Saccharomyces cerevisiae S288C: one gene and its partners. The protein of the gene in region 2 interacts with the protein of the main gene of each other region in a pairwise test. Each region holds a gene or a part of one and is shown on either strand. Other genes may lie near its edges.

Region 1 (5,068 bases), on a different chromosome or scaffold from region 2:
CAGGAGGTCTGAACGAGGAGCCGTCGAGGGCGTTTCTTCCACAAAGATTCAAACCGAAAATCATAAATCTCCTTCACAACCACCACTTCCATCATCTGCTCCGCCCATTCCTACATCACATGCTCCGCCATTACCGCCTACTGCACCACCTCCACCATCGTTACCAAATGTGACCTCTGCACCTAAAAAAGCAACTTCAGCTCCAGCTCCGCCTCCACCACCACTACCAGCAGCCATGAGCTCTGCGTCGACTAACAGCGTAAAAGCAACCCCGGTTCCCCCAACTTTAGCACCACCGTTACCAAATACTACATCAGTTCCTCCTAACAAAGCATCGTCAATGCCCGCGCCACCACCTCCTCCTCCCCCACCACCTGGTGCTTTTTCAACATCCTCTGCCTTGTCAGCATCATCTATTCCTTTAGCACCACTACCACCTCCTCCTCCTCCTTCGGTTGCAACGTCAGTACCATCGGCTCCTCCTCCTCCTCCAACACTCACGACAAACAAACCCTCAGCGTCCAGTAAGCAATCCAAAATATCTTCATCCAGTTCTTCCTCGGCCGTAACACCTGGGGGACCCTTACCATTTCTTGCTGAGATCCAAAAGAAGAGAGATGATAGATTCGTGGTTGGTGGTGATACTGGATACACTACCCAAGATAAACAAGAGGATGTAATAGGTTCATCTAAGGATGATAACGTAAGACCTTCTCCTATTTCTCCATCTATAAACCCGCCTAAACAGAGTAGCCAAAATGGTATGTCGTTTCTGGATGAAATTGAATCCAAATTACATAAGCAAACATCATCGAATGCTTTTAACGCACCACCCCCCCATACGGATGCTATGGCGCCTCCTTTGCCTCCTAGTGCACCTCCTCCTCCTATAACATCGCTACCGACTCCAACTGCATCAGGTGATGACCACACCAATGATAAGAGTGAGACTGTGTTAGGGATGAAAAAAGCAAAGGCCCCTGCACTGCCTGGACACGTTCCACCTCCACCAGTTCCACCAGTTTTATCAGATGATAGCAAGAATAATGTCCCCGCCGCTTCTTTATTACACGATGTTCTTCCCTCCTCGAATCTCGAAAAACCTCCTTCTCCTCCTGTTGCAGCTGCTCCGCCATTGCCAACATTTAGTGCACCAAGTCTGCCTCAGCAATCCGTGTCTACATCAATACCATCACCTCCTCCTGTTGCGCCTACACTTTCCGTTCGTACCGAAACTGAATCAATTTCGAAGAACCCCACTAAGTCGCCACCCCCACCACCAAGTCCATCTACGATGGATACCGGTACCTCTAATAGCCCCAGTAAAAACCTTAAACAACGGTTATTTTCTACAGGTGGATCGACGCTGCAACACAAGCATAATACGCATACAAATCAACCAGATGTTGATGTAGGTAGGTATACGATAGGGGGATCGAATTCTATCGTTGGGGCCAAATCTGGAAATGAAAGAATTGTTATAGATGATTCAAGATTTAAATGGACTAATGTGTCACAAATGCCTAAGCCACGTCCCTTTCAAAATAAAACAAAACTGTATCCAAGTGGAAAGGGTAGTAGTGTGCCATTGGACTTAACATTATTTACGTGAGCATTTCTCCATGGTTACAATAAATCACTGAAGAACAAGAAAATAATAATATTTTATAAAAATATTTTACTAAATTACATATGGTATCTGCAATATTTATTTTTTAATCTTTTAGCTTCCCGTCCTTTTCGCTGTGAAAAATATAAAATCCAGCAAAAAAAAAAAAATGCGATGAGCTTACAAGACTACTGAACTTACTTACGAAGCCTCATCTTAACTAAAGATAGCCAGTCCACAGCTGCAGAATATTGAGGCAATGCAAAAAACAGATGGTATTAGAATTCCAGGCGTTATTTTGGACGAGTTGAAGACTCTTGACTACAGTCAAGATGAAAGGTTTTCTATTTCAGAAGGAAAAAAGAGAAGACGAGGAAATGGCAAACATTTAAGCCGTAAAGAAAAGAGAAAGATGGAACGGGCCGACAAGAAACGTAAAATTATATCAACTAGAGAAATCAATTCCAGCCGGCTAAAATCAGCACCAACGTCCGAAAAGAGGAGTGCTAATGCAGGTGTGAAAAACGTAGGCAAGCAGGCTAACGGTAAAAATCCGATTTCTTCAGATGAATCAGAAAGTAATGAAAACTGGGATAGTGACGAAGTGCTTACTGATGAAGTAGCAGAAGAAAGCGGTGAGCAGGCAATGTCTGCGGAAGAAACAATGAAAAAACTAGAATCATTGAAACGGAAAGCAAAGGGTATACAAGGAGCTGAAAACTCGGGAGAAATAAAAGGTAACTCATATGAAAAGAAACATATTCGTAACAGAGATACAAATGAGAATTTTGTGAGTTATCCGCTGGCCCCTTCAGACAGATCAGCGTTTGAAAGGGACGAGATGGACATGCAATATTACGCAAAAAAGTTGGGCTTGAAAGGAGAAAGGAAGGCTATACATGCAAAAGATGAATTTGATGCTATTGGTGGACTTCTTGAAGGTTTGGAATACTTTGAAAATTATGGCAAAAGTGACGAAGAGTATGGAGATTTTGCCACAGAAACTAATTCTATGAGAAAAGATGATGAAGCAAGCGAGAAAGCATTTTCCTCGGATGATGATCTTTCAGCTTCTGATTTTGAAGACTCAGATGGGCTTAGTGAATCTGATAACGACAGCGTTGCGGACTCGGATGATAATTATAGAAGAGAAAAGGAAAATCCCTATGTAGCTCCCACACAATCTGTAGAGAGCTATGTTCCCCCATCACTGAGAAAGAAATTGGATGATAGTGAAAACAATAGTACTTTGTCTGAAATTAGCAAGAAGGTCAACTCCTCTTTGAATAAGCTTTCAGACTCCAATATTACTATTATTATCACTGATTTAAACAGATTGTATGATTCCCTGCCTAGGCAGTACGTTACAGAATCGTTAACGAAAGGGATATTGAATATTATAAGCCAAAATCAGAAGTTGTTGGACGGATTTATAATGAATTATGCTGCTCTTGCGTATACATTATCAAAACTAAGAGGTATTGAGGTGGGTGCTTTTTTCATTCAAAAAACGGTAGAGGCATTTCTGCATCATTACGAAGAGGAAATGGAAAATATATTAAAGGATCAGCAGAGCAAAATTTCCTCTAAAATATGCATCAATATTGCAACCTTACTATCGTATTGTTATAATTTTGGATTTGTTTCGTGTCGCTTAATCTATGACATTATTCGAATATTTGTAGCAGATCCTAATGAATTCACTACTGAGTTACTTTTACGAATTATATCGATTTCAGGACAACTGATCCGGGGTGATGATCCATCCGCCCTGAGAGATATACGATCAGAACTGTTGAAGAACGCCAAGAATTTAAAAGAGCAGAGCCCAAGATTGAGATTTTTAATGGATACCATGTCTGACTTGAAAAACAACAGGTTAAAGCCTTCTATTTTGGCGACTGATCATCATCCATTAAAGAAAAACTTGCAAAGCATTTTGAATTCTTCTTCTTCTTGGGAGCCTTTACAGGTTTCTCTGGAAGACATTAAAAACATTGATTCCAAGGGGAAATGGTGGCTGGTTGGTGCTTCTTGGCGAGGAAACATGGAAAATGCTTTTGAAGTTTCGATCAATAATGAAAATGATGCCAGCAAGTCCAAGAAATCTAAAATTTCAATCGAGGATGATCTTCTTGATGATATTCCAGATTGGAATATTATCGCCAGACAACAGCGTATGAATACTGACATTCGAAGGGCTATATTTATAAGTATTATGTCTGCACAAGATTACCTGGATGCATTTAGTAAACTTGAAAAGTTAAGCTTGAAAAATAAGCAAGTTCTTGAAATTCCAAGAATTGTTTTACATTGTCTTTTGGCTGATAGTGGATCCAATGGTTATAATCATTACTACGCATTGGTCGCGAACAAAATATGTGAAAGGTATAGCCATTTATCGAAGTCGTTTCAATTCCTATTCTGGGATGTGATAAAAAAATTTGAAGACAAAGAATTCGATTCTGAAAGCGATACTGACGAAGAAGATGATTTAGATGATAAAGAAAAACTGCTTCGCATCTCAAATCAGGGGAGATTTTTTGGATCGTTGCTTGCTAATGACATTTTGAAATTAGATGTTTTCAAGCATGTTCCATTTATGGGTGGATTAAACACAGAAGGGATGTTATTTATGGAGATATTGCTATTTCAGTTATTTTTAACTGTAGCTAAAAAAAGTGAGAAGAAACTCAAGATGGATGAAAGTGGAAATAAGCGTATAATCTACTCCGATGATTATTTGCGCGATGTTTTAACGAAGAACGTTAAATCGGAAAATATGCTATTCATTCTCAAAGGTTTGAAGTGGTTTATTAACAAGAAATTTAGATACCATAATTTCCTTGCAGGAAAGAAAGGAGATAAAGCTTTTGATAGGGATGAAAGAAGATTGGCTTGGGCTTCAAAAGCTGCCAAATCTATTATAGACAAAGAACTGGAAAATATAGATTCGTAGTGTTTTTTGGAATAAATTTTGTATTCTTTATTTGCTCAACTATAACCTTGAGCTACAAAATATGAGGGTTCTATTCTATTTAAAATTGTTAACTGTATTTACTCTTATTTCATTTCTTTTTTAGCATCTTCAATAGCTTTCGTAAATGAGCGGCCTTCTTCCTTCTGCTTAAACTTGACGATATAAGTTACAAGTTTCCCATCAGCCGCAACAGTAGGAGCTTTAATGAGATTATCATTTCCGGGAGCTAAAGGCTCATATTTGAAGGAGTCTACAACAGTTGCATTTAGTAATACATTACCCATACCGTCAGACCTACAAAGTAGGCGCACTTTAGAAGGATCGTCCTTTTTCTTCAAAAGCTTCATTTCGCCTACGCCTCTTGAATCGTACGATTTGGTTTCAGCATTGAATGTCATTAATTTTGCTTTTTGCGAAAATAAAGCCACTTCGTCTTCCTCACCGTTTTGCAAGTTTATTGGCTTTGATTCTTCTGGGGT
Region 2 (3,403 bases):
TGAAGTTGCCTAAGATGTTGCAACTGCATTTCAGGTCCACCAATTCCCTTTTCTGGATCGGAGAAAATCTCCTATCCTCTAAAGCAGCAATCAAGGAATATTTCTCAATACCATGTGCAATCGGCATCTTAGCAAATGTACCGATACATCCTCTAAGTATATAATTCTCTTCGTTAGTGTCTATTGTGTGATGTTTATTGGACTTTTTCTTCCAAGTTATGAACAACGAAGTTTTCTCATTGTAATCTATTTTAAAGTCGGGGTATAGCCTTCTTCTAATATCTTCTAAAGAAAGGCTGCTCGATTTCCCCGGATTCAAGTGCGAATAAAGTTGATAAAATGCGTAAAACGCAAATGGCGATGAACCTTTAGGGCCTTCCATTGATATCTTTGCAAAAAAACTGGATTTTCGAAATAGCCTTAAAGCCATTACTATCGCACAAGCCAAAAACCATCTTTTCAAAGGATCTTATCTGGATACAAATTGACGCAAATTTCTCTTTATATTCCTCCTTTGTCGCCCAGTGTCATGTGCTTATCCCTTGAAAAAAGGGCCGTTGTTCGAGCCTTGCGAGGCGTATAAAAATTTGGTAAAAATTAAAATTGACACGTAAAAGTTAAATAACATGAAGAGAAATATCTTTTCGCAGTCATTTTCAACAGTAAGCATCCACTTAACACAATTAGGAGAGACAAAATTTGACATATAATGTTATTTCTTAATATTATTAAGCTCCTTTTGGGACTTTTTATTATGAATGAAGTAAAGGCGCAAAACTTTTACGATTCCGATCCTCATATATCAGAGTTAACGCCAAAAAGCTTCGATAAAGCGATCCATAACACAAATTACACATCATTAGTGGAATTTTATGCTCCGTGGTGCGGCCATTGTAAGAAGCTCTCTAGTACGTTCCGCAAGGCAGCAAAAAGATTGGATGGTGTAGTCCAAGTTGCTGCTGTAAACTGTGACCTTAACAAGAATAAGGCTTTGTGTGCTAAATACGACGTAAACGGATTTCCCACGTTAATGGTATTTAGGCCCCCAAAAATTGACCTATCTAAGCCAATAGATAACGCCAAAAAAAGTTTCAGCGCTCATGCCAATGAAGTGTACTCAGGTGCAAGAACTCTCGCGCCTATTGTTGATTTTTCTCTTTCAAGAATAAGGTCATATGTCAAAAAGTTTGTCCGTATAGATACACTTGGCTCTTTACTTAGAAAGTCACCCAAACTTTCCGTGGTGTTGTTTTCCAAACAAGACAAAATTTCACCGGTTTATAAAAGCATTGCCCTTGATTGGTTAGGAAAGTTCGATTTTTATTCAATTTCAAACAAAAAACTCAAGCAACTAACCGATATGAACCCAACATATGAAAAAACTCCTGAGATTTTCAAATATTTGCAGAAGGTCATTCCTGAACAGCGACAGAGCGATAAAAGTAAGCTTGTCGTTTTTGATGCAGACAAAGATAAATTTTGGGAGTATGAAGGGAACTCAATCAACAAAAATGACATTTCCAAATTTCTGCGGGACACTTTTAGTATTACCCCCAATGAGGGTCCTTTTAGTAGACGTTCTGAATATATTGCTTACTTAAAAACTGGCAAGAAGCCAATTAAAAAGAACCATTCCTCCTCAGGAAACAAGCACGACGAATTGTAGTGGTACGTTTCCTCATTCAATGATTATCTAATTAAACACAACATATGTATCTATATAGTCCACTAACTGATGGCATGGACGTTTACTTTTATTTGCAATAATAACTTTTATCTGAGCGGTTAAATACCGAAAGACACGTTTATTACCCGCTTTGAAAATTTTCAACCGATGAGCTTGCCTTTCTACCGGAAAACTGGGGCATAAGAATAAGTACTAAATAGTATAATTAAATTGCCATCCAAAAATTGTATAGAGGGTCAATAAGCACTAGAAGGTTAAAAATGTCGTATTACTTTAAAAATCTGAAGCCAGACTTGAACTCCGACGTAGAAGAAGATGACGGAAACTTATTGGAGAGCATAATGGCGAACAAAAGTAAGCGAGAAATTGACGAACAAGAATCAAGTGACGATGAGTTGAAAACCTTGTCTTTTGGTTCTTTGAAGAAGGCTGAAACGGTAATAGATGAAGAAGATTTCAAAGATACGAAACCCGTTCACAAAAAACCGATCACAACTACATACAGAGAAGAAAGTTTTGATGAAGATGAGGACAGTGAGGACCAATCAGACGAGGATGCTGGATTCTTTGAAGAAGATAGTGAGGATGAAACTCATCATGGTCAGAAAGTACCAAAAAAGAAGAGCAAACACGCTCCAGTAGAACAATCATCCAAGAAAAGGGTACCACGAGTCCGAAATATCCCTGGGCTGGAAATACCGAGGAATAAAAGGTCTAACCTCTATCAGGACATCAGATTTGATAAGTCCACCGGTAAAGCCCTTGATAGTTCTATCATAAGAAAACGTTACCAGTTCTTGGACGAATATAGAGAAAAAGAAATTGATGAACTGCAGAAGCTGTTACAAGAAAGAAAATTTCTATCAAAAATAGACCAGGGAGAACGTGAAGAAATGGAACAAAGACTGAAAAGTATGAAATCGAGATTGCAATCAATGAAAAACAAAGATCTCGAGCGTGAAATTCTCAAGGAATACGAAAATGATATGAATAAAAACAATAATACGAGATACCATTTGAAAAAGTCTGAGAAACGTAAAGTGGTGCAAAAGTGGAAATTTGATCACATGAAGGCCAAGCAACGTGAAAAGGTCATGGAAAGGAAAAGGAAGAAGAGATTGGGTAAAGAGTTTAAACAATTTGAATTTCATAATCGTAGGTAGAGTATTTAAGCAAAAGAATGCACATTAAAGTAATATATAGAGAAAGATAAAAAAATAAACGCACACATAAACTAATGGAAGTAAGAGGTTATCCGCGAACCACAAGGAGAAAATCGAATGAATCGGAGAGGTGACAACAAAAAATTTGAAATACACAAAAGGTTGTCTATATACAGGATATATCGATTATACTTGTTTCTTTTTGGCTTATTTTTTGGGCTTAACGTCAGCACCACCTTTAGCTAACCACTCAGTAATAGAACCAGGATAGATACCAGTGTTTTCGTACCCATAAGATCGAGCCAACTCTTCGGCAGTTTTGGCTCTTACTCCTTTCGCACAAAGAAAAATCAATTCTTTATCGTGAGGTGGTTTAGCAAATTGGAAAACTTTGTGAAACTCCTTTTCGGGCAATCCAAGAGCGCCAGGGGCACTATTCACCGGAATATTTATTGTAGTTGGCATCTTGTAATCCTTTACTTCCTTGGGTTCCCTTACATCTACCAATAGTTTTTTATCATTGGGGTGTTCGACTAGGTTCCTGACCTGGTCA
Region 3 (7,815 bases), on a different chromosome or scaffold from region 2:
AATGAAGGTACATGAAATGCAAAAGCTGATAGGTCTAGCATCATATGTTGGATATAAATTTAGATTTGACCTATTATACTACATCAACACACTTGCACAACATATACTATTTCCGTCCAAGCAAGTGTTAGATATGACATATGAATTGATACAGTTCATATGGAATACGAGAGATAAGCAATTAATATGGCACAAAAGCAAACCTGTTAAGCCAACAAATAAATTAGTTGTTATAAGCGATGCCTCGTATGGTAACCAACCGTATTATAAATCACAAATTGGCAACATATATTTACTTAATGGAAAAGTAATTGGAGGAAAGTCCACCAAGGCTTCATTAACATGTACTTCAACCACGGAAGCAGAAATACACGCAATAAGTGAATCTGTCCCATTATTAAATAATCTAAGTTACCTGATACAAGAACTCGACAAGAAACCAATTACCAAAGGATTACTAACCGACAGTAAATCTACAATCAGTATAATTATATCCAATAATGAAGAGAAATTTAGAAACAGATTTTTTGGTACTAAAGCAATGAGACTGAGAGATGAAGTATCAGGAAATCATCTGCACGTATGCTATATCGAAACCAAAAAGAATATTGCAGACGTAATGACCAAACCTCTTCCGATAAAAACATTCAAACTATTAACAAACAAATGGATTCATTAGATCTATTACATTATGGGTGGTATGTTGGAATAAAAATCCACTATCGTCTATCAACTAATAGTTATATTATCAATATATTATCATATACGGTGTTAAGATGATGACATAAGTTATGAGAAGCTGTCATCGAAGTTAGAGGAAGCTGAAGTGCAAGGATTGATAATGTAATAGGATAATGAAACATATAAAACGGAATGAGGAATAATCGTAATATTAGTATGTAGAAATATAGATTCCATTTTGAGGATTCCTATATCCTTGAGGAGAACTTCTAGTATATTCTGTATACCTAATATTATAGCCTTTATCAACAATGGAATCCCAACAATTATCTCAACATTCCCCCATTTCTCAGGAATCCCAACAGTTATGACAAAATTTATCAGAATTCCCAGTTTCATACATGTTTGATATTTATAGATAATTCATAATGACGGTTTATTTATTCTGGTAAGTTATGATATCATGTAAAACGAGGCAACTTGGCCGAGTGGTTAAGGCGAAAGATTAGAAATCTTTTGGGCTTTGCCCGCGCAGGTTCGAGTCCTGCAGTTGTCGTTATTTTTTGGACAGTAATAAGAGTACGTAAAGTCAATGGAATACGTGGTAAAAGCATCACGTTTATGTTTTATTAAAAGATTGGCATAGAACTTGGCCTTCTTCGTAACGACTTATCACCCGTTAAAAGTATGCTATATGAGTTATATCGGCTGCAGTGTATTTCTTCCTGGCTCATTTAAAGCTAATGAAATGTACCTCTCGCTTCATTTTCTAAGGTAGTGTTTTGAAGGCGTATGTATGTAATGTCACCCGGACTTTTGTAAAGAAAAAATTTTGAGTTTATGTCTTTCCGAAAATTTTTACCGATGAGCATTGAAAAGTTGCATTATTAAATTTGGTAGCGTAAAAACCACCGATTAAACAGGTAGTGTAGGTTGTAAATTAAAGATCATATTCTTTCCTGTTTACATCCAGTTTTACGTTGTTGGCCGTATTGGTATATTTCTAGTATCAGTTACACATATTTCATTGAAAGTATGGCTAAACAAAGACAAACTACTAAATCGTCTAAGCGATATAGATATTCTTCCTTCAAGGCTAGGATTGACGATTTGAAGATTGAACCGGCTAGAAATTTGGAAAAAAGGGTACATGATTATGTCGAGTCGTCGCATTTTCTCGCTTCCTTTGATCAGTGGAAAGAAATTAATTTAAGTGCCAAATTTACGGAGTTTGCAGCGGAAATTGAGCATGATGTTCAAACATTACCCCAAATACTATATCATGATAAAAAGATTTTTAATTCTTTGGTTTCATTCATTAACTTTCACGATGAGTTTTCTTTGCAACCGCTTCTGGACCTCTTGGCTCAATTTTGTCATGATTTAGGTCCAGATTTTCTTAAATTTTATGAAGAAGCTATCAAAACTTTAATAAATCTGTTAGACGCTGCTATAGAATTTGAGTCATCTAATGTTTTTGAGTGGGGTTTCAACTGTTTGGCTTATATTTTCAAGTATCTCTCGAAATTTTTGGTTAAAAAACTGGTACTCACATGTGATCTTTTAATTCCACTATTGTCTCATTCTAAGGAATATCTTTCAAGATTTTCAGCAGAAGCATTATCTTTTTTAGTAAGAAAGTGTCCTGTTTCTAACTTGCGCGAGTTTGTTAGATCAGTTTTTGAAAAGTTAGAGGGAGATGATGAGCAAACTAACCTCTACGAAGGGCTTCTGATATTATTCACAGAATCCATGACGTCAACGCAAGAAACTCTGCATTCGAAAGCTAAAGCTATCATGAGCGTTCTTTTGCATGAAGCTTTGACCAAATCATCCCCGGAAAGATCTGTTTCATTGCTCTCAGATATTTGGATGAACATTAGTAAGTACGCCTCAATCGAAAGTTTACTTCCAGTCTATGAAGTTATGTATCAGGATTTTAACGATTCTCTCGATGCCACCAATATCGATAGAATATTAAAAGTATTGACAACAATTGTCTTCTCGGAAAGTGGTAGAAAAATTCCTGATTGGAATAAAATTACTATCCTAATTGAAAGAATAATGAGTCAAAGTGAAAATTGTGCTTCGCTTTCACAGGATAAAGTGGCTTTCCTATTTGCTTTATTTATTCGTAACAGTGACGTGAAAACTTTAACATTATTCCACCAAAAACTTTTTAACTACGCTTTAACAAATATATCTGACTGTTTCCTTGAATTCTTTCAATTTGCTTTAAGGCTAAGCTATGAAAGAGTATTTTCATTCAATGGATTAAAATTCCTACAGTTATTTTTAAAGAAAAATTGGCAATCACAAGGAAAAAAAATTGCACTTTTTTTTCTAGAAGTAGATGATAAGCCTGAACTGCAGAAAGTACGGGAAGTAAATTTCCCAGAAGAATTTATTTTATCTATCAGAGATTTTTTTGTCACAGCAGAAATTAATGATTCGAATGACCTTTTCGAAATATATTGGCGAGCTATAATTTTTAAATATTCGAAATTACAGAATACAGAAATTATTATCCCATTGCTTGAACGTATCTTTTCAACTTTTGCATCACCAGATAATTTTACGAAAGATATGGTCGGTACACTCTTAAAAATATATCGTAAAGAAGACGACGCTTCAGGGAATAATCTATTAAAGACTATTCTGGATAATTACGAAAACTATAAAGAAAGTTTAAACTTTTTAAGAGGATGGAACAAGTTAGTGAGTAATCTTCATCCTTCAGAAAGCTTAAAAGGACTAATGTCACACTATCCAAGTCTACTCCTTAGCTTGACAGATAATTTTATGTTGCCTGATGGGAAGATTCGTTATGAAACTTTAGAATTAATGAAGACATTAATGATTTTGCAGGGTATGCAAGTACCTGACCTCCTTTCTTCATGTATGGTTATCGAGGAAATACCTCTTACACTACAAAATGCCAGAGATTTAACCATTAGAATCAAGAATGTTGGTGCCGAATTCGGAAAAACCAAAACAGACAAGCTAGTATCCTCTTTCTTTCTCAAATACTTATTTGGCCTTCTTACCGTTAGATTCTCTCCAGTTTGGACTGGTGTTTTTGACACTCTTCCTAATGTTTACACAAAAGATGAAGCCCTCGTTTGGAAACTTGTGCTATCATTCATTAAACTTCCTGATGAAAATCAAAATTTGGATTACTACCAGCCTCTTCTTGAAGATGGTGCAAACAAAGTTCTGTGGGATTCGAGTGTAGTGAGGTTAAGGGACACTATTGATACGTTCTCACATATTTGGTCAAAGTATTCTACTCAAAATACGAGCATTATATCTACTACTATTGAAAGAAGGGGGAACACCACCTACCCAATTTTAATTAGAAATCAGGCTCTAAAAGTTATGCTATCGATTCCTCAAGTTGCTGAAAATCACTTCGTCGACATCGCACCTTTTGTTTATAATGACTTCAAGACTTACAAAGATGAAGAGGATATGGAAAATGAACGTGTTATTACTGGTTCATGGACAGAAGTTGATAGAAACGTGTTTTTAAAGACTTTAAGCAAGTTCAAAAATATAAAGAATGTTTATAGTGCAACAGAATTGCACGATCATCTGATGGTACTGTTGGGTAGCCGTAATACAGACGTTCAGAAGCTTGCGTTGGACGCACTTCTTGCATACAAAAATCCAACGTTGAATAAATATAGAGATAATTTGAAAAATCTACTAGATGACACCTTATTCAAGGACGAGATTACGACTTTTTTAACCGAAAATGGGTCGCAGTCTATCAAGGCTGAGGACGAAAAGGTAGTCATGCCTTATGTCCTTAGAATTTTCTTCGGTCGAGCACAAGTCCCCCCAACTAGTGGACAGAAAAGAAGCCGCAAAATAGCTGTCATTTCAGTTTTGCCAAATTTTAAGAAGCCATATATTAATGATTTTTTGAGTTTGGCTAGTGAAAGGCTGGATTATAATTATTTTTTTGGGAACAGCCATCAAATAAATAGCTCAAAGGCTACCTTGAAAACTATCAGACGGATGACTGGTTTCGTTAACATTGTAAATTCTACTCTGTCTGTATTAAGAACAAATTTTCCTTTGCATACTAATTCAGTGCTGCAGCCGTTGATCTATTCAATTGCTATGGCATACTATGTCTTAGATACTGAGAGCACAGAGGAGGTACATTTAAGAAAGATGGCAAGTAATTTAAGGCAACAAGGTCTAAAATGTTTAAGTAGTGTCTTTGAATTTGTTGGAAATACATTTGATTGGTCTACTTCTATGGAAGATATTTACGCCGTTGTAGTTAAGCCTCGTATTTCACATTTTTCGGATGAAAACTTACAACAACCCTCCTCTTTACTAAGACTTTTCCTTTATTGGGCACACAATCCATCTCTGTACCAGTTTTTGTATTACGATGAATTTGCAACTGCCACTGCATTGATGGACACCATATCAAACCAACACGTTAAGGAAGCTGTTATTGGCCCAATAATTGAAGCGGCGGACTCAATTATTAGAAATCCAGTAAATGATGATCACTACGTAGATTTGGTGACTCTCATCTGCACATCATGTCTGAAAATACTTCCTTCGCTATATGTCAAACTTTCTGACTCAAACTCGATTTCCACATTTTTGAATTTGCTAGTTAGTATCACTGAGATGGGATTTATTCAAGATGATCATGTTAGAAGTCGTTTAATTAGTTCATTAATATCAATATTAAAAGGAAAGCTAAAAAAACTGCAGGAAAATGATACCCAAAAAATTTTGAAAATATTAAAGCTGATAGTTTTCAACTACAATTGTTCTTGGAGTGATATTGAAGAACTATACACTACCATATCTTCTTTGTTCAAAACATTTGACGAGCGAAACCTCAGGGTTTCCTTGACAGAGCTCTTCATAGAACTCGGTAGAAAAGTTCCTGAATTAGAAAGTATTTCGAAATTGGTTGCGGACTTGAATTCATACTCCTCATCACGTATGCATGAATATGATTTTCCTAGAATTTTATCAACTTTCAAGGGGTTAATTGAAGATGGTTATAAGTCCTACAGTGAGTTAGAGTGGTTACCTCTGTTGTTCACCTTTTTACATTTTATCAATAATAAGGAAGAACTTGCGTTAAGAACAAACGCATCCCACGCTATAATGAAGTTTATTGACTTCATTAACGAAAAGCCTAATCTTAATGAAGCTTCAAAATCGATTTCTATGCTGAAGGATATACTTTTACCCAATATAAGGATTGGCCTCAGAGACTCCCTAGAAGAGGTACAAAGTGAGTATGTATCAGTGCTATCATATATGGTAAAAAACACGAAATATTTCACCGACTTCGAAGATATGGCCATTTTACTGTACAATGGTGATGAAGAAGCAGATTTTTTTACAAACGTTAATCATATTCAGCTTCATCGTCGTCAGAGAGCCATTAAAAGACTAGGTGAACATGCTCATCAACTCAAAGATAACAGTATATCCCATTATTTAATTCCAATGATCGAACATTATGTCTTTTCGGATGATGAAAGATACAGAAATATTGGAAATGAGACCCAAATAGCCATCGGAGGGTTGGCGCAGCACATGAGTTGGAATCAATACAAAGCTCTTCTTAGAAGGTACATTTCTATGTTGAAAACCAAGCCTAACCAAATGAAGCAAGCCGTACAATTAATTGTTCAACTTTCTGTTCCACTTAGAGAAACTCTTCGTATCGTAAGAGATGGGGCTGAGTCGAAACTTACTTTGAGCAAATTTCCTTCCAACTTAGATGAACCCAGTAATTTTATTAAGCAAGAATTGTATCCGACTCTTTCGAAAATTCTTGGCACTAGAGATGACGAAACTATAATTGAAAGAATGCCTATTGCGGAGGCATTAGTTAATATTGTTTTAGGGCTCACAAATGATGATATTACTAATTTCCTCCCTAGTATTCTAACAAATATTTGCCAAGTTTTGAGAAGTAAATCCGAAGAATTAAGAGATGCAGTAAGAGTAACCTTGGGTAAAATCAGTATTATCTTGGGCGCTGAGTATCTTGTCTTTGTGATAAAGGAATTAATGGCTACATTAAAACGTGGTTCTCAAATTCATGTGTTAAGTTACACTGTCCACTACATATTAAAGAGTATGCACGGAGTCTTAAAACACTCCGATTTGGATACCTCGTCCAGTATGATTGTTAAGATTATAATGGAAAATATCTTTGGGTTCGCTGGTGAAGAAAAAGACTCTGAGAATTATCATACAAAAGTGAAAGAAATTAAGAGTAATAAAAGCTATGATGCTGGTGAAATTCTCGCCTCAAACATCAGCCTGACAGAATTTGGAACATTACTCTCTCCTGTGAAGGCTTTGTTGATGGTCAGAATTAATCTAAGAAATCAAAACAAACTGAGTGAATTATTGAGACGATATTTGTTGGGTTTAAATCATAATAGTGACTCTGAGTCAGAAAGTATCCTCAAGTTCTGCCATCAGCTTTTCCAGGAATCAGAAATGAGTAATTCCCCTCAAATACCAAAGAAAAAAGTGAAAGACCAAGTAGATGAAAAAGAAGACTTTTTCTTGGTAAATTTGGAGTCGAAATCTTATACCATCAACTCAAACAGTTTGCTTTTGAACAGCACTTTACAAAAATTTGCTTTAGACTTACTTAGGAACGTAATAACGAGACACCGCTCCTTTTTAACTGTCTCGCACCTAGAGGGTTTTATTCCATTTTTGAGAGATTCGTTACTTTCGGAAAATGAAGGTGTGGTAATTAGTACTTTACGTATCCTGATTACATTAATTAGGCTAGATTTTTCCGATGAATCTAGTGAAATCTTCAAAAACTGTGCGAGGAAGGTACTAAATATTATCAAGGTTTCTCCTTCAACTTCAAGCGAATTATGCCAAATGGGTTTAAAGTTTCTTTCTGCCTTTATACGTCACACAGATTCAACATTAAAGGATACTGCTTTGAGTTATGTTCTAGGGAGGGTCTTACCAGATTTAAATGAACCAAGCAGACAAGGCCTTGCTTTTAATTTCCTAAAAGCACTTGTTTCAAAACATATCATGCTTCCAGAACTCTATGACATTGCGGATACTACTAGGGAAATCATGGTCACAAACCACTCAAAA

The links.
Region 1: the proteins of RRP36 (region 2) and SGD1 interact in a two-hybrid assay, tested with the Saccharomyces cerevisiae proteins (2 studies listed by BioGRID).
Region 3: the proteins of RRP36 (region 2) and UTP20 interact in a two-hybrid assay, tested with the Saccharomyces cerevisiae proteins (one study listed by BioGRID).

The regions. Positions count from the first base shown.
Region 1 is NC_001144.5:799,197-804,264, reverse strand, and holds SGD1 (Sgd1p), read left to right. Parts: upstream 1-1,868; coding exon 1,869-4,568; downstream 4,569-5,068. Other genes in the region: VRP1 (Vrp1p), read left to right, coding at 1-1,612; nucleoporin NUP2, read right to left, coding at 4,673-5,068. UniProt on the Saccharomyces cerevisiae protein: Involved in osmoregulatory glycerol response, probably through its interaction with PLC1 which regulates the expression of GDP1.
Region 2 is NC_001147.6:850,384-853,786, reverse strand, and holds RRP36 (rRNA-processing protein RRP36), read left to right. Parts: upstream 1-1,947; coding exon 1,948-2,850; downstream 2,851-3,403. Other genes in the region: YOR289W (uncharacterized protein), read right to left, coding at 1-430; protein disulfide isomerase MPD1, read left to right, coding at 710-1,666; thiosulfate sulfurtransferase RDL2, read right to left, coding at 3,058-3,403.
Region 3 is NC_001134.8:225,920-233,734, forward strand, and holds the start of UTP20 (Utp20p), read left to right. Parts: upstream 1-1,716; coding exon 1,717-7,815. UniProt on the Saccharomyces cerevisiae protein: Involved in nucleolar processing of pre-18S ribosomal RNA and ribosome assembly.